Linked DNA regions of Sus scrofa. The protein of the gene in region 3 interacts with the protein of the main gene of each other region in a biochemical or structural test. Links are inferred from orthologs where the notes say so. Each region holds a gene or a part of one and is shown on either strand. Other genes may lie near its edges.

Region 1 (7,507 bases), on a different chromosome or scaffold from region 3:
ACTTGCATAGGGGCTCAACTCAAAATCACATGATCTGCCCACTCTTAGGTAGAAACTAAAATGAAGACCTAAAAAAGAGTAAGTCTGCATGACTCATTGACCCACCCAGACTCAGACCTGCAGCCTCCACTTCACTGGACCGCCACAAGTGGAAAAACCAAGCCCATGAAGCGGTTGACTTCCCAAGGACAAAGACAGCCCAAAGAGAAAATTAATTTTTTTTTTTTTTGGTCTTTTTAGGGTAGCATGCACAGCATATGGTGTTTCCAGGCTAGGGGTCCAATCAGAGCTGTAGACACCGGCTGACACCCCAGCCACAGCAATGCAGGCCAGCTCACGGCAACAACAGATCCTTAACCCACTGAGCGAGGCCAGGGATCAAACCCACAACCTCATGGTTCCCAGTCAGATTCATTTCCACTGCGCCACAACGAGGACTTCGAGAAAGTTAAATTTTTATACATTGATCTCAACCACCATCCTGGACCTACAGAACTCAGCACAAAACCCCCAGCCTATAAAACCTGAATTTCTCCCAACAGCGGGCAGCTCTGAGTTCCTCTTGCTCAGTGCTCCCAACCACTCTGCTGGTCAATAAATCTTGTTTGAAATGTCACTGCTTCAGTCAACCGTCTTTCTTTCCCTGGTGCTCTAACACCCACTATAGCATTCTGGTATTTAACAAATAATTACTACATACCAACTATATCCCAAGCACTCTTTTAGGTCCCAGGTATCTAAGCAAAATCCCGCTCTCAAGGAGCTTATATTCTAATTGGAAGAGACAGTCAAAAAAATAGTATTTAATATATAACTTGATTCTATGTGCTATGAAGGAAAATAAAGCAAGGATGGAGGGGGAGAGAGTATGAGTGCAAGTGTGCTAGTCCATATGAGGCTTTCTGGTGACATTTCAGCAAACATCTGAAGAGAAGTGATGAAAGAAGGGTATTTAAGAGGGATATTTAAGGTCAAGGCAGAGGGTTTAGCAAACGCGAAATCCCTGAGACAGGAGCCTATTTGGCTGTCACTCCGCTTCTTTTTTTTTTTTTTTTTGTCTTTTTAGGGCCACATCCAGGGCATATGGAGGTTCCCAGCCTAGGGGTCAAGTCAGACCTCCATATGCTGCTGGCCTCCACCACAGCTAGGTCAGATCCAAGAGGCGTATGCCATCTACACCTCAGCTTGCGCCAACACGGGATTCTTAACCCACTGAGTGAAGCCAGGGATTCTTAACCCACTGGGTGCTCATGGACACTAGCAGGGTTTGCTACCCCTGAGCCACAACAGAAACTCCCTCCTTTTTTTTTTTTTTTCTTAAGATACTGTGTAACAATTATTCTCCTGTGTTAGGGAACAAAGGTAAATACACTGCCTGGCCTTGCCTGATTAAACATAACTTTGACATGTTAACAGCCTCTTATGATGACCATTTTTCGTATAAAAAAAACTAGGTTGAGCTACAAAATGTCTACAGCCAAAATCCACTGATTTACTTAAAAATTAAATCACAGGTAATAGACGCCAAAGGTAAAGGTGACATAAATACACACAATACTGTCGCTCACTTGATGAGCCACAAATAAACACAATTTAACCCTCTTCTTAAATATTAAAGGTTGATAAGTTCCCGCTGTGGCACAATGGGTTGAGAATCCGAATGCAGTAGCTCCGGTCACTATGGAGGCGAGAGTTCAGTCACCAGCCTGCCACAGAGGGTTAAAGGATCCAACGATGCTGCAGCTGCGTTCGGATCTGACCCCTGGTTAGGGGACTTCCGTCTGTCGCGGTTGCGGCCATACCAAAAAAAAAAAAAAAAAAAAAAAAAGAAAAGAAAGGAAAAAACTTGAGAGTATCCTCAAGGAAACCTAATGCAGACTTCAATTTGAGGGGAAAAAATATCCGCTGGGACAAGGAGGAGCCCACCTTTTGCGCCATACCTCTCAGACACCCGTCAAGAGAACAGTAAGAAAATGAAGAACCTGGGGGCGTCTTTGGGGAGACCTGGATCTGATCTTGGGGCTCTAGATGCTGAATTGTCTCATTTTTCACATTTGTCATGAGAGGGATTCTGGGCTAGTGCCCGCCACGCCCCTTTCCTCCCAGGACCCGGGGTCTGGGTTCTCTGAGCCTCCCAAGCTTGGGAGTGACAGAGCAGAGCAACTAAAAACCAAAACTCTCACGATTTTTGCCTGGCCACTTACCAAGCTGCCTATCTCAGAGCGAACCCAACTGGGGAAACTTGACCCTCCGCCGCGCCGCGTCCCTTGCCCCGCCCACTCTCCCCACCCACTTCGGCCTCCCGGCCTCCCCCGGGTCCTACGCAGAAAAGAACTAGGACCTGGCGAGCGGGCCCGCACGGCTTCCGGGAGGAGTTTTGGGCCCCGCGAGGCACCGTCGGGCGCCGCGCTTTCTCATCGGAGGTGGCTGTGGAGACGCCAGGAGCCCGCCTGGGTGTAGTTGACCGGTGGTGCACGTCCTCAGCATGGGCGAGCATGGTCTGGAGTTGGCGTCTATGATCCCGGCCCTGCGGGAGCTGGGCAGGTAGGGCCAGGCCGGCATCTCACGTGCTCTCCCTCCCCAGCCGCGCGCGTCCTAGTTCCGATCCCCTCAACCCGGGCCCTTGTGGAGACACTCCGTGGCTGATTAGAGCGCTTCTCCTACAGAGAGGCGGTTAAAAGGACTGGGGGCTTCGCCGCAGACCCGCCAGATGCGGGTCCGAGGGGAGGGCCGTCTGCAGGTCCCACTTTACCTCAGCGGCGCCCTGAAGCTCCTCCCCCACCAGCACCCCCAGGGGATTGCCTCTGCGGCGGGAAAGAAGGGTCCCGCCGGATGGTAACTTTCTGATCACTTCCCTACACTCACTGCTTTGCTTCTCAAAAGCCTCTTTCCTTGATGGAGTACTTGACCTGTGGATTTGTCTCAGTTTCTGTTGTCTTCTATGTTTTGACCCCAAACTGCCCTCGGATGAAAAGTCATTTGTTCAGATTTTATGCAAGGAAGGCCAGTTGCTCGAAAAAGCAGTTTGTGTCTTTCTTAGAAGTGAAACCATAGGCCATTCTGGAGATGGGACCCTTTTCATGTTGATCATCCAGTCCCCAATTCGTTAGTTCAATCAGAAATCCCAGGAATCGACCACAACGTCTGCAAAATATAAATGTGCAAGAATGAAGCCAAAATTTGAAGATAATTTAATGTTCCATTTGCATAGCTTTTTTTTTTTTTTTCCCCTGTAAACCTGAGAATAGAATCATGTAAACCAGTTTCCTGCCGCAACAGAAGGGAGAGATGTTGATGTCTGCTGTCCTTCAACACACCTACAACCTTTCCTCAACCAGGCCTAGGCAGGGTGTTTGTTCAATTTTTTTTTTTTTTTTTTTGGTAACCTACTGTGAATAGAAAAGTGGGCTTGTACCACTACTGCATTTGAACTGTCAATTGGAATAGTTGCTTTCCAATTTCTTAAATTGTTTGAAAACTTAGCACACAGCCACAACTGATTTTAAGCCCATGGGATATTTAATTTCCTTTCTTTGTGCAGTGCAGTTGTGTCCCTCTCCACTTGTTAGCCATACCAAGACACTGACATTTAGTCTTCCTCAGTTACATACATAAGAGGTTATAAATAACAGCACCATGCTTGTCTTAACTGAATCATCCTCTTTTTGTGTGTATGATTTTTTCCCCCTTGGCATGAGTGTTGCAATCATACTTGGGTAAACATTTTGTAAAGTAACATTTACCTTTCTTAAGAAGATGAAGGCAGGTGTTCACACAGGAAGTTGATGTACCTATTTCATCTTTCAGGCTCCATGTAAAGCTCAGGGTGTTTCCCCCTTCCCCCTGCTTTAATATAGAATTTGCTGATTAATACTTCTCTTCCCTTTTCTCTCTTCCAGTATGATACTTGTTGATAAAAATAATACTATCTTGGATTTATTTATAGTCTCTTTCATCAACAGAGCTTATGTTACCTTTGATTCATTTGTAGCCATTTTAAGAGAAGGAATAATAAAAAAAAAAACTTAGGAGTTCCTGTCCTGGTGCAGAAGAAATGAATCCGACTAGGAACCATGAGGTTCAATCCCTGGCCTCGCCTAATGGGTTAAGGATCCGGCATTGCCGTGAGCTGTGGTGAAGGTCGCAGATGCAGCTCAGATCTGGCGTTGCTGTGGCTGTGGTGTAGGCTGGCAGCTACAGCTCTGATTAGACCCCTAGGCTGGGAACCTCCATATGCTGTGGGTGTGGCCCTAAAAAAGACAAAAAAGACAAAAACAAAAACAAAAGCAAAAACACTTACCCATGGAGAATTACCTAATAGTAGTTTTTAATTGTCATGACTTTTTCATTGCAGCTTATTCATTCACATAGTATCTCCATGATATAGAATGGACCAAATATTATCACTGTTTATTAAGAAACAGAGTCACAAAGTCAAAAGGATAGCAATTATTAGAGCTAGATTTCAAATTCAAGCCATCAAGTCTTTTTCTCCTTAATTTTTTTTTCTTTTTCTTAAGTGACCGTGGCAATTAGATTTCTGAAAAAAGTAAGATGTTACTGTTTAAATGTATGGCCTCCTTTTCCTCTGTCTCTCAGGGATAAGTTTTGTTCCAATGTTTTCTGCTGTTAGCACTCCCTTTTTTTTTTTTTTTTTTTTTTTTTCATGATTGCACTGTGGGACATGGAAGTTCCCAGGCCTGCACCACAGCTGCAGCAACACTGGATCTAAGCGGCATCTGTAACTTATGTTGCAGCTTGCAGTTACACCAGATCCTTAACCCACTGCATGAGGCCAGGGATTGAACCTGCATTCTCATAGACAATATGTTGTGTTCTTAACCTGCTGGGCCACAACGGGAACTCCTATTAGCACTCTTTTCTCTATAGTCTTTCTGTTTGATCTCATCTATTTTCCTGCTGTCAACTACCATCTGCTATTTGATGACTCTAAATGCATGTCTCCCATATCTATTTCCTACAAAACTATATCCAACCACATACTGCAGTTGTTCTGATAACCCCATTAGTTGTTCCCTGGGTGTCCTACATGCATTTAAGACTCAATATATCCAATACAAATTCTCTGTATGTTCTAACCTCCCAAAGTTTTGTTTTGTTTAAATACCTCTCGTTCACTGAAGTAGGGAGATATCTCAGTAAATGATACCATGTTCACTCGTTTTTCTAAACTAGAAATCTAGGAGTCATTCTTGGCTCCATATGTGCTTTCAGGCTACATCGATTGTCCTCTTTCCTTATTTATTTATTTATTTTGCGTTTTAAGACCACATCCATGGCATATGGAGGTTCCAGGCTAGGGGTCAAATCGAAGCTACAGCTGCTGGCCTGCGCCTTAGCCACAGCAACGCAGGATCTGTACTGCATATGCGACCTACACTACAGCTCACGGCAACACAGGTTCCTGGACCCACTGAGCAAAGCCAGGGATCAAACCTGCATCCTCATGGATACTAGTTGGATTAGTTTCCACTGCACTACAACTCTCCTCCTCAGTAACTCTGTCTAGTCTCATGGCTTTAAATACCATCTAGGAGTTCCCGTTGTGGCTCAGCAGAAACGAACCCATCTGGTATCCGCAAGCATGTAGGTTTGATCCCTGGCCTCACCCAGTGGGTCAAGGATCCTGCATTGCTATGAGCTGTGGTGTAGGTTGCAGATGTGGTTCGGATCCTGCTTTGCTGTGGCTGTGGTGTAGGCTGGCGGCAGCAGTTCTGACTAGACTCCTAGCCTAGGAACTTCAATATGCCACACAAGTGGCCCTAAAAAGCAAAAAAAAAAGAAAAGAAAAAAAATACTGTCTAAATGCTGATAACTCCCAAATGTATATCTAGCCCAGAGGTATATGTTAGGTTGTTTATTCAACATCTACACCCAGAAAAGAAGATTAACATATCCAAAGCAGAACTCCTGATTTACTGTCCTTATTTATTTGTAAATGTACCAATCAAAAGCCTAAAAGGGAATTCCCTGGTGGCTTGGTGGGTTTAGGATTTGGTACTGTCACTGCTGTGGCACAAGTTTGATCCCTGGCCCAGGAACTTCTGCATATCTTGGATGCAGTCAAAAAGGAAAAATAAGCCTGCGAGTTATCCTTGATTTTTTTCCCCCTTACCCCTTAATAATCATCAACAAGTCCTGTTAACCCTGTCTTTGAAAAAACACTTAAAACCATCTCCACTACTATCACCATAACTTCTTATCTGAGCTATTAGAGTAACTTCTTAGCTGATCTTTCTTTTTACACTTTTACCCATTTATAGTGGATTTCACACTCAGCAACCAAAGTGATTTTTACAACTATAAATCATACGTAGATTATATAACATTACTCTCCTGATCAAAAATCTTCCTTTGGTTTTCCAGCACACCTAGAATAAAATCCAAACTCCATCCCAAGGCCTCTAAATTCCTTTATAATCTGGCCTCTGCCTACCTCTGACCCTTGGGCTTTTGTACCTCCCTTACTCACTCTACTCCAACACACTGGCCTTCTCTTTCAAATACACAAAAGTCACTCCCACCTTCATTCCATTGCACTGTTGTTTCTTCTGTCTTAACACTGGCTGTTTCCATTCATACGTTGTTTCTAAGAGACTTCTCTGATCTTCCTGTTTAAAATTACTTTATGATCACAAGATATTTTCCAGTAGTGATAATTGCCATTAAAATATTAAATGGGGATGGAGTTCCCATCATGGCACAGCGGAAACGAATCTGACTAGGAACCATGAGGTTGCGGGTTTGATCCCTGGCCTTGCTCAGTGGGTTAAGGATCCAGCATTGCCCTGAACTGTGGTATAGGTGGCAGACGTGGCTCAGATCTGGCATCTCTGTGGCTCTGGTGTAGGCCCTAGCCTGGGAACCTCCATATGCCGTAGGTATAGCCCTAAACAGCAATGAATATATATTAAATGGGCAATGAGTAGGAGGGAGATGAAGAGCTGTAGAGCAGCAACATTAGCCACTGGAGGAGGTTTGGATGGTGAAAAGAAACCAGTCATGTTAAACTGGGAAGAAAAGTGTTTGAGCTGGAATAGGAAATGCAGAGATCTCTAGATGGGAAGGAGCCTACTTTTTAAAGAAGAGGAATAAATCTAGAACATGGAGGCCAAAGAGGGTAATGGTGTTAATTAGGGATGGAGGAGTAAGCAGGGGCCAGATCCTTTAGCATGTTATAGGGCAGAATGAGGTGCTACATTTTCGTTTAAGTTCAGTGGAAAGCTATTCAGATGTTTTAAACAGGGAAATAAGATAATTTAATTCACATTTTAAAGACCTTCACTTTAACCTTCCGTGTTCCATTGCCTTGAGTACAAAGTCCAAACTCCTTAGTGGGCCCTTTCAGCTTCCACCTTTTCTCCCTCTTCATTTCCAGCTACTGCCTCCCTCTTCTGTGGCCATGTAGATAGAACCTCTTATAGTTTTTAGAGCAGCTTATGTTTTTGTTCCTGAGCCTTTGCATATGTTGTTTCCTCCTCTTGGG
Region 2 (7,555 bases), on a different chromosome or scaffold from region 3:
AGTATCTTGGTGTTGTGGCAGTTGTCACTAATTTTAAAAGAGCTTAGGTTGAAGTTCCCATTGTGGCACAATGGTTAACGAATCTGACTAGGTACTGTTTAGGGTTCGATCCCTGACCTTGCTCAGTAGGTGAAGGATCCGGCGTTTGCTGTGGCTGTGGTGTAGGCCGGTGGCTACAGCTCCAATTCGACTCCTAGCCTGGGAACCTCCATATGCCGAGGGAGCGGTCCAAGAAATGGCAAAAAGAAAAAAAAAAGGGAGAGAGAGCTTAGATTTTTGAAGGAGGAAGGAAGGGAAATGATTTGTAGGCAATATGAGACGGTTCGAAGATAAGAATATCTGTTGAGAGGAAAAATAATCTACTTGAAAAGTTGTAAGGGAGGTAGTTTTGCTAGGCAATCAACCAGTTTTCGGTTGGAACAGGAAGCTGATGGGAACATTTAGAGAAGAGTGAAAAACAAAGAGGAAATGGCTGATAACAGATGTTGAAACCTAAAGGGTGGAGAGAAATGGTTAGGATGACTGGTGAAGAGCAGGGTACTGAATCAAGAGAGTAGCATGGAGATGCTAATCAGGGTAATGATGGATGACCCTGAGGCTACTGATTGTGACTGAGGGAAAAGGATTATAGAGAATGAAGTAATGATCCCTTTGTAATCTCTACAAGGGGAAGGGAAGTTGGGTAAACTATTTAAGAGGAATAATATAGAGCTACATAAACTGTTCTTTTTGGCAGGTCTTGTGTTATGGAGATTATTGGATTAGAATTGCTAATATTTCACCTTTTTTTGCATTTAGTATAAAATGTTGTCTATAGATTTCCTTCTAGTGTTATAATTACTAGGTTTTGATAACAGGATTATGATCACCTTTCAAAACAAGCTGGGATTTTTTCCAAGTGTTTTTACACTCTGGAACCATCTGGTCTGGTGCATTTTAACATAGGGCTTATCTTTGATTACATTTTTAATTTAATGGATCTATTCAGATTTTCTCCATTTCGGGGTGATTTTACTTCTTTTATTGGGAGGATTTTTTTTCTAGTTGTATTTCTTGTGCCAGATGTCAAAAAAATGAGCATGGAGTTCCCCTCCTGGCGCAGTGGTTAACGAATCTGACTAGGAACCATGAGGTTGCAGGTTCGGTCCCTGCCCTTGCTCATTGGGTTAACGATCTGGCCTTGCGTGAGCTGTGGTGTAGGTTGTAGACGCGGCTCAGATCCTGCGTTGCTGTGGCTCTGGCGTAGGCTGGTGGCTACGGCTCCGATTAGACCCCTAGCCTGGGAACCTCCATATGCCGTGGGAGCGGCCCAAGAAATAGCAAAAAGACAAAAAAAAAAAAAAAGAGAGAGAGCAGTTTTTTTCCCTATTCCCAGTTCAGTACCAGGAGCATTTCATTTGGAAATTTCTAAGGCTGTACAGGAAGGGGCACACAGGAGAGGTGATGGTGAAGTGGCCGAAAACTGAAAAAGTGAACTTTAATTTGACTCACAGGAACATTTGCTGTTGATAACAAACTGACCTGCCAACTCTGAGGCTTATTTTAATGCCGTCGAAATCCGGGCAAAGGTTTTAGGGCTTAGATTGCAACCCATGGGAGAAGAGGAGAGACGATAACCAAGGTCTTGGAGCACTCGAGCGCTGGGCAGTTTTTGTAACCTATTTTCAAGTGGTCTGTTCAAGTGATTCCGCCGAAGGACTAAAATGCTGCATCCAGGGCTCATCGGGGAAAGTACTACTTTTAGCAAAAGCTGAAAAGAACTTAAAACATAAGCCGTTTAAGTGTCCGACATACCTAGTTTATGTGAAACGAGACCGTGCAGCCAATGGTGGAAATTTCCCGTGTTTTCTTAACACAAAGTGGATTTCCTTTCACAACTCCCAGTCGGATCCATCCCACCCAAGTCCAGTTCGACAGTGCCACGCTTTTCCCAGCCTATTCACAAACCACCTTCCAAACTGAGGTTTCCCGCCACTTCAAGAAATGGAAGGTTTTTCTCTCTAGATTCTTCACACTCGTGCGAGGCCCGAGCCTACACGGCTTTTCCCACCAGGCAAGCAACGCAACGCCCTGGGCAGCAGGCTGCAATTCGACCGCGGGGACGGAGCAAAAAGGTGACAGAGAAGGCGCTAGATAAGCGTTTAGCACCCGCCGAAAAGCCGGAGGACGAAACCGCCCACTGCAAAGCGAAAGCCAGCCGGGTAGCGCGCTGGCTTCGCGCCCGCGCAGGGAGGAGGGAGTGCGGCCGTTGTAGGGAGAAGGGAGGGGCGGAGGGCGTGTTCGCCCCCAACTCGACTCCGGATTGGTCGGCCCCAGAGAGCCGAGTGACGTCAGCCGGGGAGAACGTCCGATTTGTGTGGTGGGCGCGGGCAGGCGGGGGAGGCGCATTGCGCAGGCGCAGCTGCTAGGCTCCGCTTGCCCGGGCGCTCCGGCCCAGCTCTCGCGGACAAGTCCCGACATCGCGCCCCCCCACCTCCGGGACCGCCCCCTCCCCCTTCTCGGCGTCGTCGAAGATAAACAATAGTTGGCCGGCTAGCGCCGAGTGTCTCCCGCCGCTCGGCGGGCTGCGTGGGACCGGCGGGATCTCGGCCAGCCGGCCATGGCGGGGCTGTACTCACTGGGAGTGAGCGTCTTCTCCGACCAGGGCGGGAGGAAGTACATGGAGGACGTTACTCAGATCGTGGTGGAGCCCGAGCCGACAACTGAAGAAAAGCCCTCGCCGCGGCGGTCGCTTTCTCAGCCGTCGCCCCCGCAGCGGACACCGCCGGCCCTTCCTGGAGGCGAAGTCTCGGGGAAAGGCCCAGCGGTGGCAGCCCGAGAAGCTCGCGACGCTCCGCCGGACGCCGGGGCCTCGCCAGCTCCCGGCCGCTGCTGCCGCCGCCGTTCCTCGGTGGCCTTTTTCGCCGTGTGCGACGGGCACGGCGGGCGGGAGGCGGCACAGTTTGCCCGGGAGCACTTGTGGGGTTTCATCAAAAAACAGAAGGGCTTCACCTCGTCCGAGCCGGCGAAGGTGTGCGCTGCCATCCGCAAGGGCTTCCTTGCTTGTCACCTCGCCATGTGGAAGAAATTGGGTAAGTTCCCCGGCTTATTTGGCGCCCGCCTCTTTTTCAGGAGACTGTAGCGCCAGGTTGGGGGCCGTAGCTGCAGCACTGCAGGTCCCCACAACGAGAGCGCTCTCAGTGTCCATCGGTGGGAGTGAAGACTCTTCTAGGTGGAGGTCCGGGCAAACAAAGTAGCTTTGGGCAGGACAGGATTACTGTCTCTGTGCAAACGCTCCACGTTTTATTTACACCCCCCATCCCCGCCAAGGATCAGTGGGGGAGCGGTCCTCTCCCTTCGCGATTTCACTTTGGTGGCGGCCAGCGAAAACATGTTTGAAACCTGGCGCCAGATTTGGCCAAAAGATTCATTGAAGACACGGTGCTGCCTGAAACACGCAAAGGAAGCGGGAGATGGCAAAAATTAGAGCGTTTCCTTCGAATTTGTCACAATTTTGCTTTTGAAAGACTCGGTTGTCTCCTACGGGCGGTGTCAGTCCTCCAAAATTGACCCCTGGTGGCTGGTAGTTAGAGTAAACTGTTAGGCTAACAAGTTATCCGGCGACCTAAAGGCTTGGAAGGAATTTCGTGTGTGTGGTGGTCATCAAGTGTTTCTAGGATCTTTATGCTTGTACTGCTCATGAAAACCAGCGCCGAATGCATTCTTACCGCCTAAATTGATCCTACGTTAAGAATACGTGTTAAATTCAGCTAGGGCTTTTTTAAAGTGCACTTTTTTTTTTTTTTTGCTGAAGTTGCTATTAGCTAATTGCTGTCAGATAGTTCTCAGCAGTTCCTAGTTAAAAGTTCTTTGTAGCTAAATTGTAGCTGCTCGTCAAAGTAGCAAGAGATAAGGAATTGCTGATATGCTAAAAGGAATTAGAGACCTTAATTTCTAAAAGTTTGGTTTAGTTGCAGTTTCATCTAAGCCTTAAATGTTTTCTAAAGCAGCCATTGTTTCTGTACCTAACATAAGTTGAGTTATAGTTGCTTACCCATTGCTGTGAATGAATGGCATAAATTATTTTTTAGAGGAAAAAATGATACTGTGTGTCATTAAAAAAAATCCTCTTGTTTATATGGTGGCATAGTGTTGCTTTATTTCCAGAAGAGAGACATAGAGTGTAAAGATTGGTCAAATACAAAACATTTTTAAAAAGGTATTCTGATGGAGTTGTAGACTAGGCTCTTTCAGAGTCTGTTTTCTATTTGCCTGGCTTTCTGCCAAGAATTATTTGATTGACTCATAGCATAACCAGTCCGCCTGTGGGAGGCTGTTTTCCATCCAATCCCAGAGGTCCCTATTATGGATTTGTTTTGTTTTTGTGTAGGCAGAGCAGAGCTGAAAGCACTGCAGTATATTCCAGAAATATGTCATTTCATTGCTTGCAGGGCAAGTAGGAGGGACAGCAAGACAAGATAGAGGAAGATTAGACACAAAGTACTACTTGGAATTCTGTTTATTTTGCAGTACAGTTGAAACAGCATGAATTTGCCACATGTTTTCACCAAAAGGATCCAAGTATAAACCCTTTTACTTGAGCATTTTTTAATAAAGCAGAAACCATGCTTTATTAATGAATGTCTGTGTTTTATTTATTTATTTATTTATTTTTGAATGTGTATTTTTTTTTAACATAATTCTTGTGCCAAGATTTCACTCCTTTGAGGCATGGGTTTAGAGCCTTATGCACCAAATGTTAAAGTTTGCTTTGTTCCACAGTTAATCTCATACTCTATCCGCAAAACTTGAATTAAGGAAAAAGAGTACGCTGAGTATATGGAAGTCCTGACAAAGGAAACTTCCTATGTCAAGTTTCCACTTTTGTAGTTCTCATTGGGTTATAGTAGTGTTTCTCAAACTTTTTGCTCTCGTAAATTTGTACTGAAAGGACTTAGAACCCTAAAGAGCTTTTGTTTGTGTGGGCTATATCTATCATATTTACTGTATGAGAAGTTAAAAATTGAGAAATTAAAGTTATTAATCTATTAAAAATAAACATATATGTTGACATATTTTTAAGTGAAAAATTACTTTTTTCCCCCAAATAAGAAAATTTGAAATAAATATTCTCATACCTGTTTCTGCATTCATTCACTCTCTTATGCTGTGTTGTCTGGTGACGTATGTAAGTGAAAAGGCAGACTTGCAAACGTATGTAGTAGGAAAAGGGAGGAATTGTTTGTATTTTCAGATGATTGTGATATTCCATACCAAATTGGTAGCTTCTTAAGGTTACTCAAAATAGAATCTGAAACCTTATCCATTGAACTTCTGCATTTTGACATTAAGAGCCATTGGTCTCTTGCACCTTGAATCAGTCTTTTACCCAGTTGTGATTTTGTGACATGGTGCCATTCATTAGGAATTTGGAAAATAATGGTTCACTGAATTATGCATATCTTTCAAGTATAGATGCATTTTATTTTATTTTTTTAATTATTATTATTATTATTTTTTGTCTTTTTGTCTCATCTAGGGCTGCACCTGACGCATATGGAGATTCCCAGGCTAGGGGTCTAATCGGAGCTGTAGCCACCAGCCTACACCAGAGCAACACCAGATCCGAGCCCAGGCTACGACCTACACCACAGCTCATGGCAACCCCAGATCCTTAACCCACTGAGCAGGCCAGGGGTCAAACTCACAATCCCGAGGTTCCTAGTTGGATTCATTAACCACTGAGCCACGGCGGGAACTCCTGATGCATTTATCATATGATATTAAAGCATCACATTTGTTAATATCACTGATCTCATCAGAAATTTAAGACTAGGAAGCTATCAAGTTCATCGTAGTGGATATACAAAGTCTTAAATATGAGGGCTTTTTTTGGCCTCCAGCATATGGAAGTTCCTGGGGCAGGGATCAATTCTGAGCTGCAGCCTACGCTGCAGCTGCAGCAACACTGCATCCTTAACCTACTGTGCCACAGCAGGAATTCCTAAAATGTGAGGTTTTTTTTTTTTTTTTCTTTTTTGGCCACCCTGTGGCAGTGCCTGATCTTTTACCCCACTGTGCTGGGCCAGGGATCAAACCTGTGTGCTGGCATTGCAGAAATGCCACCAATCCCATTTCGCCTCTGTAGGAACTCCTAAAATATGAGTTCTTAAGAGGCAGAAATTTGTCACTTAGCAATAAATACTGTCAGTTGCTTTTCTTGAAGTGAAAAGCACTTTGTTTTGAAGAAAATGTACAAAATGCCAAAGTTTTTTTTTTTTTTTTGTCTTTTTGTCTTTTCTAGGGCCGCTTCCACGGCATATGGAGATTCCCAGGCTAGGGGTCGAATCAGAGCCATAGCCACTGGCCCACGCCACAGCCACAGCAACGCTGGATCCGAGTCACGTCTGCAGCCTACACCACAGCTCACTGCAATGCTGGATCATTAACTCACTGAGCAAGGCCAGGGATAGAACCCGCAACCTCATAGTTCCTAGTCGGATTCCTTAACCACTGTGCCACAATGGGAACTCCCAAAATGCCAAAGTTTATTAACACATTTTATCAGTCCTTCAAGTAAAAATGATGGTCTGTGAAGAATGTGGCTAGTTCATTTCATAACTTGCATAATCACAAGTGCTTTTCACTTTTTCTCTAGACAGCCATAGCATGCAACAGAAGTGTTTATGCATGCTTCCCTTTTTGTCATACAGGATGTTAAAAAGACATGGGTGGAAGTTTAAAATAAAGTTAACTTATTGCATCATCAAAGGACATTCTGGAGTTTTTTGGGGGTCACTCCCGTGGCATGTGGAAGTTCCTGGGCCAGTGGTCGAACTCTTTTGTGCCACAGCAGCAAATAGCAGTGACAATGCCAGATCCTTAACTGGCTGAATCACCAGGGAACTCCATCAAGGACATTCTTTTATTTTTAAAAATTTTTTGTCTTTTTGTCATCTAGGGCTGCATCTGAGGCATATGGAGGTTCAGAACTGTAGCCGCTGGCCTACACCAGAGCCACAGCAATGGGGGATCGAGCCGAATCTGCCACCTGCACCACAGCTCATGGCAATGCCAGATCCTCAACCCACTGAGCGATGCCAGGGGTCGAACCCACGTCTTCATGGATGCTGGTCAGGTTCACTAACCACTGAGCCACCATGGGAACTCCTCAAGGACATTCTTAATTGAAACTTGTTTGTCTTTTTTCTTTTCTTTCCTTCTTTTTTCCTTTAAAAAAAACTCTTAAGTGGGTAACTGTGGCGAAATACAGTGACTTTTAGTTTGCTTTGACAACTGCTGAGGCACCAGCAGTTTTACTAACCACTGCTTTTTTTTTTTTTTTTTGGTCTTTTTAGGGCTGCACCTGAGGCATATGGAAGTTCCCAGCTAGGGGTCCAGTTGGAGCTACAGCTGCCAGCCTACGCCAGAGTCACAACAACACCAGATCCGAGCTGCATCTGGGTCCTGCACCACAGGTCATGGCAACACCAGATCCTAACCCACTGAGTGAGGCCAGGGATTAAACCAGCATCTTCATGAATGCCTGTTGGGTTTGTTATCGCTGATCTCTAAT
Region 3 (6,956 bases):
TACATAGGCTTGTGGTCAGTTCTCTATGGCTGCATGATTTAATTTTTTCATGCATTCACTTGTTCTTTCAGAGGACAGTTAAGAGCAGTGGGACACGTGTGGCAATAGGGGTGGGTGCAGAGTAGGGGAATCTCCAGGGTGAGACAGGGCCACAGGGCTTCAGGTAACCACAGGTTCACACGGTGTGAGGAGCATCCAAAGGCTGCATGGCTCGGAGGTGACATAACTGTGTCAGTCCGCTCTGGCTGCCATAGCAGAATACCGTAGACCAGGTGGCTTAAAAAACAGAAATTTATCTTCTCACAATTCTGGAGGCTTGAAATCCAATTTCAAGGTGCCAGCAGCTTTGGTTTCTCCTGAGGTCTCTTTCCTCACTTTGCAGGTGGCTGCTCTTCTCACTGTGTCCTCACTTGGTCTTTTCTCTGTGTGCTCACATCCCTGGTGTCTTTTTCTCTTCTTAGGAGGAGACCAGCCATAATGCGTTAAGGCCCCACTCTAAGAGCCTCATTTTAACTTAATTACCTCTTTAAAGGCCCTGTCTCCAAGTACAGTCACAATATGAGGTGTTGGGCTTCAATATATAAATGGGGGTGGGGGAGAGGTACAGTTCAGTCATGACTCACACAGTTCAGTCATAACAATCACAGTTCAGTTGCCATAACAACAGGGGATAGCATTTTTAACACTGATTGAGTCCCTCTGATATGGAGGCCCCTGTGCTTATTATAGCGCCTGACATCTAAGGGTCTTTGCAAAATATTTGTTCACCTAGTGAATGAGGAAGTGGGGTGAGGTGGTGGGTGGGCAGGAAGGCACAGAGGGGTTCCCAGCTGAGGCTGTAAGCAGCTGCAGGAGAAATAAGGGATGGACAATTGAGGGTGGCCTTGCCTGAGAAGTGAGATCCTAGGGAACTATGTGGAGTGGAATCCAGATGAACTTGGTGCTTGGGCAGTGGAGAGCTACACTGAGTGATTCAGTAAACAGGGTGATGGAAGCAGATGATTCTAGGTAATAGGTGTAGAACAGGCGGATTCATCCTCAAACACTGTAATTCTTCATCCATCAAATTATTGAACGTTGAAGGCCTTCATTCCTGTGTCCTTTCTCCTCAACCATCATGGTGCACTGGGAGAGTGGAGGCAGGTCGGGTAGGAAAGTATATGGAATCAGGCTGCTCTGGGGCTGTATTCTGCACACGTAGCTTGTAAGTGGCTGAGCTTGGCTTCTAGCTGGCCCCAAAGCCCACAGTCCTAGTCATGAATGTTTCCCCTTTCTGAAGGTGGGGAGAGCTGTCACTTTTCAGGGCTCTCGGATGCAAGTCCTTGGTAGTTGCGAGCATCCATGGAGGTGAGAGTTATCTGTATAAACCCCTCTCTCTCCAATTCCCCTCTAGCAGAAAGAAACACCTATAATGCTATGGCCTGTTCACTTGTCCTTCTTTCTCGTTATCCTTGGGATATTGTGCACTGGAAGTCCTTCTGGCAATTGTACAGTGCTTGCCCAGTTTATTTTCCTAGGGTACAGGGTTGCTTTGTTAGGATGGCCCCAGTAATTGGCCTCATTGTTGGCAGGGGGAGCAGCATGGAGCCAGCCTCAGCCTCTGGCCTCTTGATTACCATGTCTTAGGATCTGGGGTGCTAGTTCTGAAAGTCTTTGACTACTGAAATCTCTGGTTCTCTCTCTCTCTCTTTTTTTTTTTTTTTTTTTTTTTTTTGGTCTTTTTGCCATTTCTAGGGCCGATCCCGAGGCATACGGAGGTTCCCAGGCTAGGGGTCGAATTGGAGCTGTAGCCTGCTGGCCTACGCCAGAGCGACAGCAACGCGGGATCCGAGCCGTGTCTTCGACCTACACCACAGCTCACAGCAACGCCAGATCCTTAACCCACTGAACAAGGCCAGGGATTGAACCCGCAACCTCATGGTTCCTAGTTGGATTCGTGAACCACTGCACCATGACGGGAACTCCAGTCTCTGGTTCTCTCTGACCCACCAACAGCTCTTAAGCCTACGGGTTTGGTTCAGCCATTGCTGAGCACTGACTGCTGATCAGACTGTTCTGTGAAGGCAGAGGTGAGGACTGCCTAGTCTTCTCCCTTCTGGAGCTTCAGCAAGGGCAGCCTCTGTGTGGACAGACGGGAGTTCCCATTTCCCTGTTTCCAGGGGCATCCTAGCCCTGCCTTTCTGCCTACTTAATGTTTTTCATTTCTTCACAGGATGAGGACATGAAGAGAAAATTTAAGAATTTGCTTTTTGAAGAAGACAAGTCCACAGCTCTGTCTCAGGTTCCAGCCCAGGTATTCTGGAAGATGGTCATTAAATGTAGGCTAAGTTTAAAGAGCTGAGTGGGAGTTCCCGTTGTGGTTCAGTGGTTAACGAACCCGACTAGTATCCATGAGGATGCTGGCTCTATCCCTGGCCTCAGTGGGTTAAGGATCTGGCATTGCCATGAACTGTGGTATAGTTTGCAGACATGGCTCAGATCCCATGTTGCTGTAGCTGTGATATAGGCTGGTAGCTATAGCTCTGATTCAACCCCTAGCCAGGGAACTTCCATATGCTGTAGGTGCAGCCCTAGGAAAAAAAAAAGAACTGAGGATTGGAGGATGATGGTTTGAATAATCTCTTTAGCAGCAATTGCTTAATATTTTTTTTTTGGTAAAGAATAATTTAGTAGATACTTTGTTTCAGCTTGATCTGCTGTACAACCTTTAGAAGATTTAATAATGAAGAATATGTTTAATGCATGAAAAGCACAGCTAGGGGTTGTCATTCAAGAAGTCTCCTACAAGGCAAGATTGGAAGACTGTATTAGAGGCTCAGATTTAAATTCGTTGAAAAATTTAAAATTTGGGGGAGTGGAAGTTCCTGTCATGGCTCAGCAGTTAACGAACCTGACTAGCATCCATGAGAACACGAGTTTGATCCCCGGCCTTGCTCAGTGGCTTGGGGATCCGGCATTGCTGGGAGCTGTGGTGTAGGCTGTAGATGCGGCTCAGATCCCGCATTGCTGTGGCTCTGTTGTAGGCTGGCGGCTACAGCTCTGTTTGGACCCCTAGCCTAGGAACCTCCATGTGCCACAGGTCTGGCCCTAAAAAGACAATAATAATAATAATAATAATAATAAATTTTTAAAAATTGCGGGAGTAGTTGATTTCCTGATTATAATCTTCTCTAAAATTCTTTGTGTAAGTATCAGTTACTATCTGTTCATTCTTAGTTTGCCTTCTTTTGGTAACATTCTTCTTCCCACTGCTCCCTCGAAGTTTTATAAATGGGATAACAAAGACACAAAAAAGATTATCTTTCCACAAAAGGGAGAGACTTGAGGCTCCCTGGGAGAGATGAATTGTGGTCCCTTTAAATTTCATAACTTAGGAGAAAACAACCAAGAAGAGGCTGGTTATACTGCTTATGTTCAATGTACATCATTGAGTGATTGGAGGCCACAAGGGAGAGAAATATCAGTTTGATAAGTATTTCTGGGTGTTTGCGAGGGCTGGGGTAGGGATTCAGATTGACTGAGGGCAACCAGTAGTTCCTAGAAGTTTCACATGAAGTGCTCCAGGGAGTTCCTGCTGTGGTGCCATGGGTTAAGGATCCCATGTTGTCTCTGGGGCAGAATGAATTTGATCCTCTGCCCAGCGCAGTGCAGTGGGTTAAGGACTGGCTTTGCTGTAGCCTCCACCTACGCACATGGACCAAATGTGCTTAGGAGTTTCCACCCTGGCACAGTGGGTTAAGAATCCAACCGCAGTAGCTCTGGTCGATGCAGAGGTGTAGGTTCCTGCCCAGCCAGGCACAGTGGGTTAAAGGATCCAGCATTGCTGCACTGTGGCAAAGTTTGCAGCTATGGCTCGGATTCCATCCCTGGCTTGGGAACTTCCATATGCCTCGGGTGTGGCCAAAAAAGAAAGAAAAAAAAGTGCTCCAAATTTACTGGAATCATATTGGGAAACTCTGATCATCATAAAGAAGCCATAGGTTTTCTTTGAACATTTCTCCCTTTTCCTTCCAGCCTTCTACAAGTCGAAAGCGGCATCTTGAGGGGGATACAGAGGATGCTGAGCCCACAAAGCACCTGGCTGTGTGTGCTGCTGTCTTGTGAACACCGGGTGACCATGAAAAGAATGTACCTTCTTGAACTCTGCTGCCATTTCCTTTAAATCTGTTTTTTATACTTTGTATTTCCATTATAGGAATAGTTGTTTTTCCACGATCATCAATATACAATTGAAAACAAATGGAACCCAGGCTTTGTGCTTCTGCTTGTTTTTGTTTTTGTTTTGGCCACACTTGTGGCATGTGGAATTTCCCAGGCCAGGGATTGAACCCAAGCTGCTGCAGTGACAATGCTGGATCCTTAAATCACTGCACCACAAGGGAACTCTTGTGCTTTTGCTTGTTGACTAGCTCTTAGTTACATGCCTTTAGTGTGTGTGTATGTGAAGTTGCTGTGTGCCTTTGGTGCTTTTACCTTGGCTATAATCAGGCAGGTTTCTTAGGATGCACCCCTGGTCTCAGCCTAAGTGAACCTCATACAGATTCTGAAGGCCCCTTAAAAAGTTGTACGGGGAAGGGGTACAGTGACTTGGGGTGGAGTTTGTATCCACTGGCTGGATGCCAGAGTCCTCAGAAGACAGTATACCATGGGTCAGTTTTAGAGTCCTATCCTCACCCTCATTATCCTTGAAATAACAGGGACAGATACATTGTAAAATTCAAAAATTTCCTTAGTTTAGGAAGAGGACCAGGCACATGGACTGTGTTGTGTGTAATATCCAGCTGAGTCCTAAAACCAAACACTAATTTTTCTGCAACAAATATTCAAAGTAGTTGGGATAGAGAAAACTAAGTAGCCTCATGGCACTTCAGGTCCATCTTCTACCATGTCGGTTATGGGGGACACTCAGGTTTCAGAGCTATTTGGATTTTGGAAATGCCCCTATAACCTTATGTTATAGGTGAGGAACCCAGGCTGAAGGAGTAAGGTGACTTATCCAACATCATACAACTAGGAAGTGGCAGACCTGGGACCCAACCCAGGGTTTTCCGACACAAATTCATGTTCCTCATCTCCTTCCCATATTTAGTCAGACTCACAGATGTTGACTCACACTGACAAAACTCACATAAGACTGATGTCTAAATATTGAATACCAGTATGTTCAATCATGATGAATGAGTACAACCTATGATCTGTGTTAGTTGGAACATCTTGGTGGCAAGGAACAGAGGCCCATTCAATTACTATATGGAAAAGGGGATTTGTTTCATTGTTACAGACGGCTGGGCCTGGGAGCAGGAGCGTAGACAGTTCTACTGACTGGCTCCTCTTGTCTCCTTCTGACCCACTGATTTTGCTTCTCTTGCAACTTTGGCTGGCTGACACTAGGCCACATTGTAGCTTGTTGACCATGCCATGAGTTGAGTGCCTTGGTTCAGATGCCAGTGGGTGAGCCAGCCAGGATAGGGTGAGCACATAGTTGTTGCCCCAGGCATTAAGGGTGGTGGTTGGCAATTTCCATTAGAAGGGTGCGCAAGCTTTCTGAGGCTTGGCTGGCCCATTACTTAGGGCTTGATGGGATTTAGGTGGTTTGCATATTTAAAGGAATGAGGCTGAGATTGCCAAGTTAGATGGGTTTTAGCTCATTTGAATATTTAATGTGAAGGCTGTGGTTTCTTAGGGCCTCTTTCCCTCTTGGGGCAGAGTCAGCCAGCCCTTCTGTTTCCAGAGCACTTTGTATTAGGTCCCTCTGATTATACCTACTAGAGTGGGATAAATAATGACCTCTAAAGATATTCTCATCCCAATCCCCAGAATTTATGAGCATGTTCTTTTACATGGCACAAGAGATTTTGTGGGTGTGATTAAGTGAAGGATCTTGGGATCTGTTTTATCAAGGTGGACTCAATATCATCACAATGTTCCTTTCAAGAGGGACACAGGAAGAGGCAGAGTCAGAAGAGATGGAGTGGTGCTCTTTGAAAACAGGAAGAGGCCATCAACCAAGGAATATAGGCAGCTATTAGACGCTGACAAAAAGCAAGGAAATGGATTCTCCCTCAGAGCCTGCTGAGGAACCAGTCCTTTCCTTTACACCTTGACTTTCACAAAATGAAACTGATTTCAGACTTCTGACCCACAAAACTTTAAGAGAATAAATTGTGTTGTTTTAAGCCACCCAATTTGTGATAATTTGTTACAGCAGCCATAGGAAACTAATCATAAATGGAGAGACATCAGTTGCTGGTTTGAGGCCATCCAGCATTGATTCTTTTCCTTAACCTCAAACTCCAGTTTTCTTTTGGGGGAATTATTTTTCTTTTTTCCACAATGTCATAGGGGGAGGGGGAGATTGTAAACCTAAGTGCCTGTCTGCATCCCCCCCACTATAGAAGCTAAAAGGGTCCATAGAGGCTCCTCCCTGGTAGGGCCCCTTCCACTGACCACCCAGCTGGAGGTGGGCACAGGACTTTGAAATGTGAGCAAATGCAGCTAGGATGGCAACATTAGTGGTAGGAACAATATTGTGCTAATCTCAGCTCTCTGTACTCCCTGACTTTGGCTTTGGACAAGTTACTTCAAGTTGCTGAGCTTCTATTTCCTTATCTATAAAATGAGTGCAATAAGAGTATCAATTTAATATGGTGTTTCTGAGGGAATCTATGGTGGGAATTTCACTTAAAGTGCCTGGTAGAGGATTTGTCAATGTTGGCCTCCATCATTAAAGGTGGGAGGGTCACATAAATAGCCCGAGGGAGCCATAGAAAATTCTTGAGTGGGGAGTTAACATCATCTGTTTAGCTTTTTAGGGTTTTTACAAAGCAGATCTGGGAAACTCTAGGCCTGGGGTGGGTGGTGGGAGCAGAGGTGGGGGGTGCATTGCCCAGTGACTCACGTAACTGCCACTCCCTTCTGAAGAACAGGCATATTGCTCTGAAGTGGACCTGCTGTGC

The links.
Region 1: of the proteins of CHEK2 (region 3) and ATR, one has a biochemical effect on the other in vitro, tested with the Homo sapiens proteins (2 studies listed by BioGRID). The link is inferred for Sus scrofa from reciprocal best matches to the Homo sapiens genes CHEK2 and ATR.
Region 2: of the proteins of CHEK2 (region 3) and PPM1D, one has a biochemical effect on the other in vitro, tested with the Homo sapiens proteins (2 studies listed by BioGRID, with this or other methods). The link is inferred for Sus scrofa from reciprocal best matches to the Homo sapiens genes CHEK2 and PPM1D.

Annotation. Positions count from the first base shown.
Region 1 is NC_010455.5:83,284,810-83,292,316, reverse strand, and holds the start of ATR (serine/threonine-protein kinase ATR), read left to right. Parts: upstream 1-2,330; 5' UTR 2,331-2,485; coding exon 2,486-2,544; intron 2,545-7,507. UniProt on the Homo sapiens protein: Serine/threonine protein kinase which activates checkpoint signaling upon genotoxic stresses such as ionizing radiation (IR), ultraviolet light (UV), or DNA replication stalling, thereby acting as a DNA damage sensor.
Region 2 is NC_010454.4:37,530,983-37,538,537, reverse strand, and holds the start of PPM1D (protein phosphatase 1D), read left to right. Parts: upstream 1-2,378; 5' UTR 2,379-2,599; coding exon 2,600-3,071; intron 3,072-7,555. UniProt on the Homo sapiens protein: Involved in the negative regulation of p53 expression. Required for the relief of p53-dependent checkpoint mediated cell cycle arrest.
Region 3 is NC_010456.5:45,927,001-45,933,956, reverse strand, and holds the end of CHEK2 (serine/threonine-protein kinase Chk2), read left to right. Parts: intron 1-2,212; coding exon 2,213-2,293; intron 2,294-4,014; coding exon 4,015-4,104; 3' UTR 4,105-4,249; downstream 4,250-6,956. UniProt on the Homo sapiens protein: Serine/threonine-protein kinase which is required for checkpoint-mediated cell cycle arrest, activation of DNA repair and apoptosis in response to the presence of DNA double-strand breaks.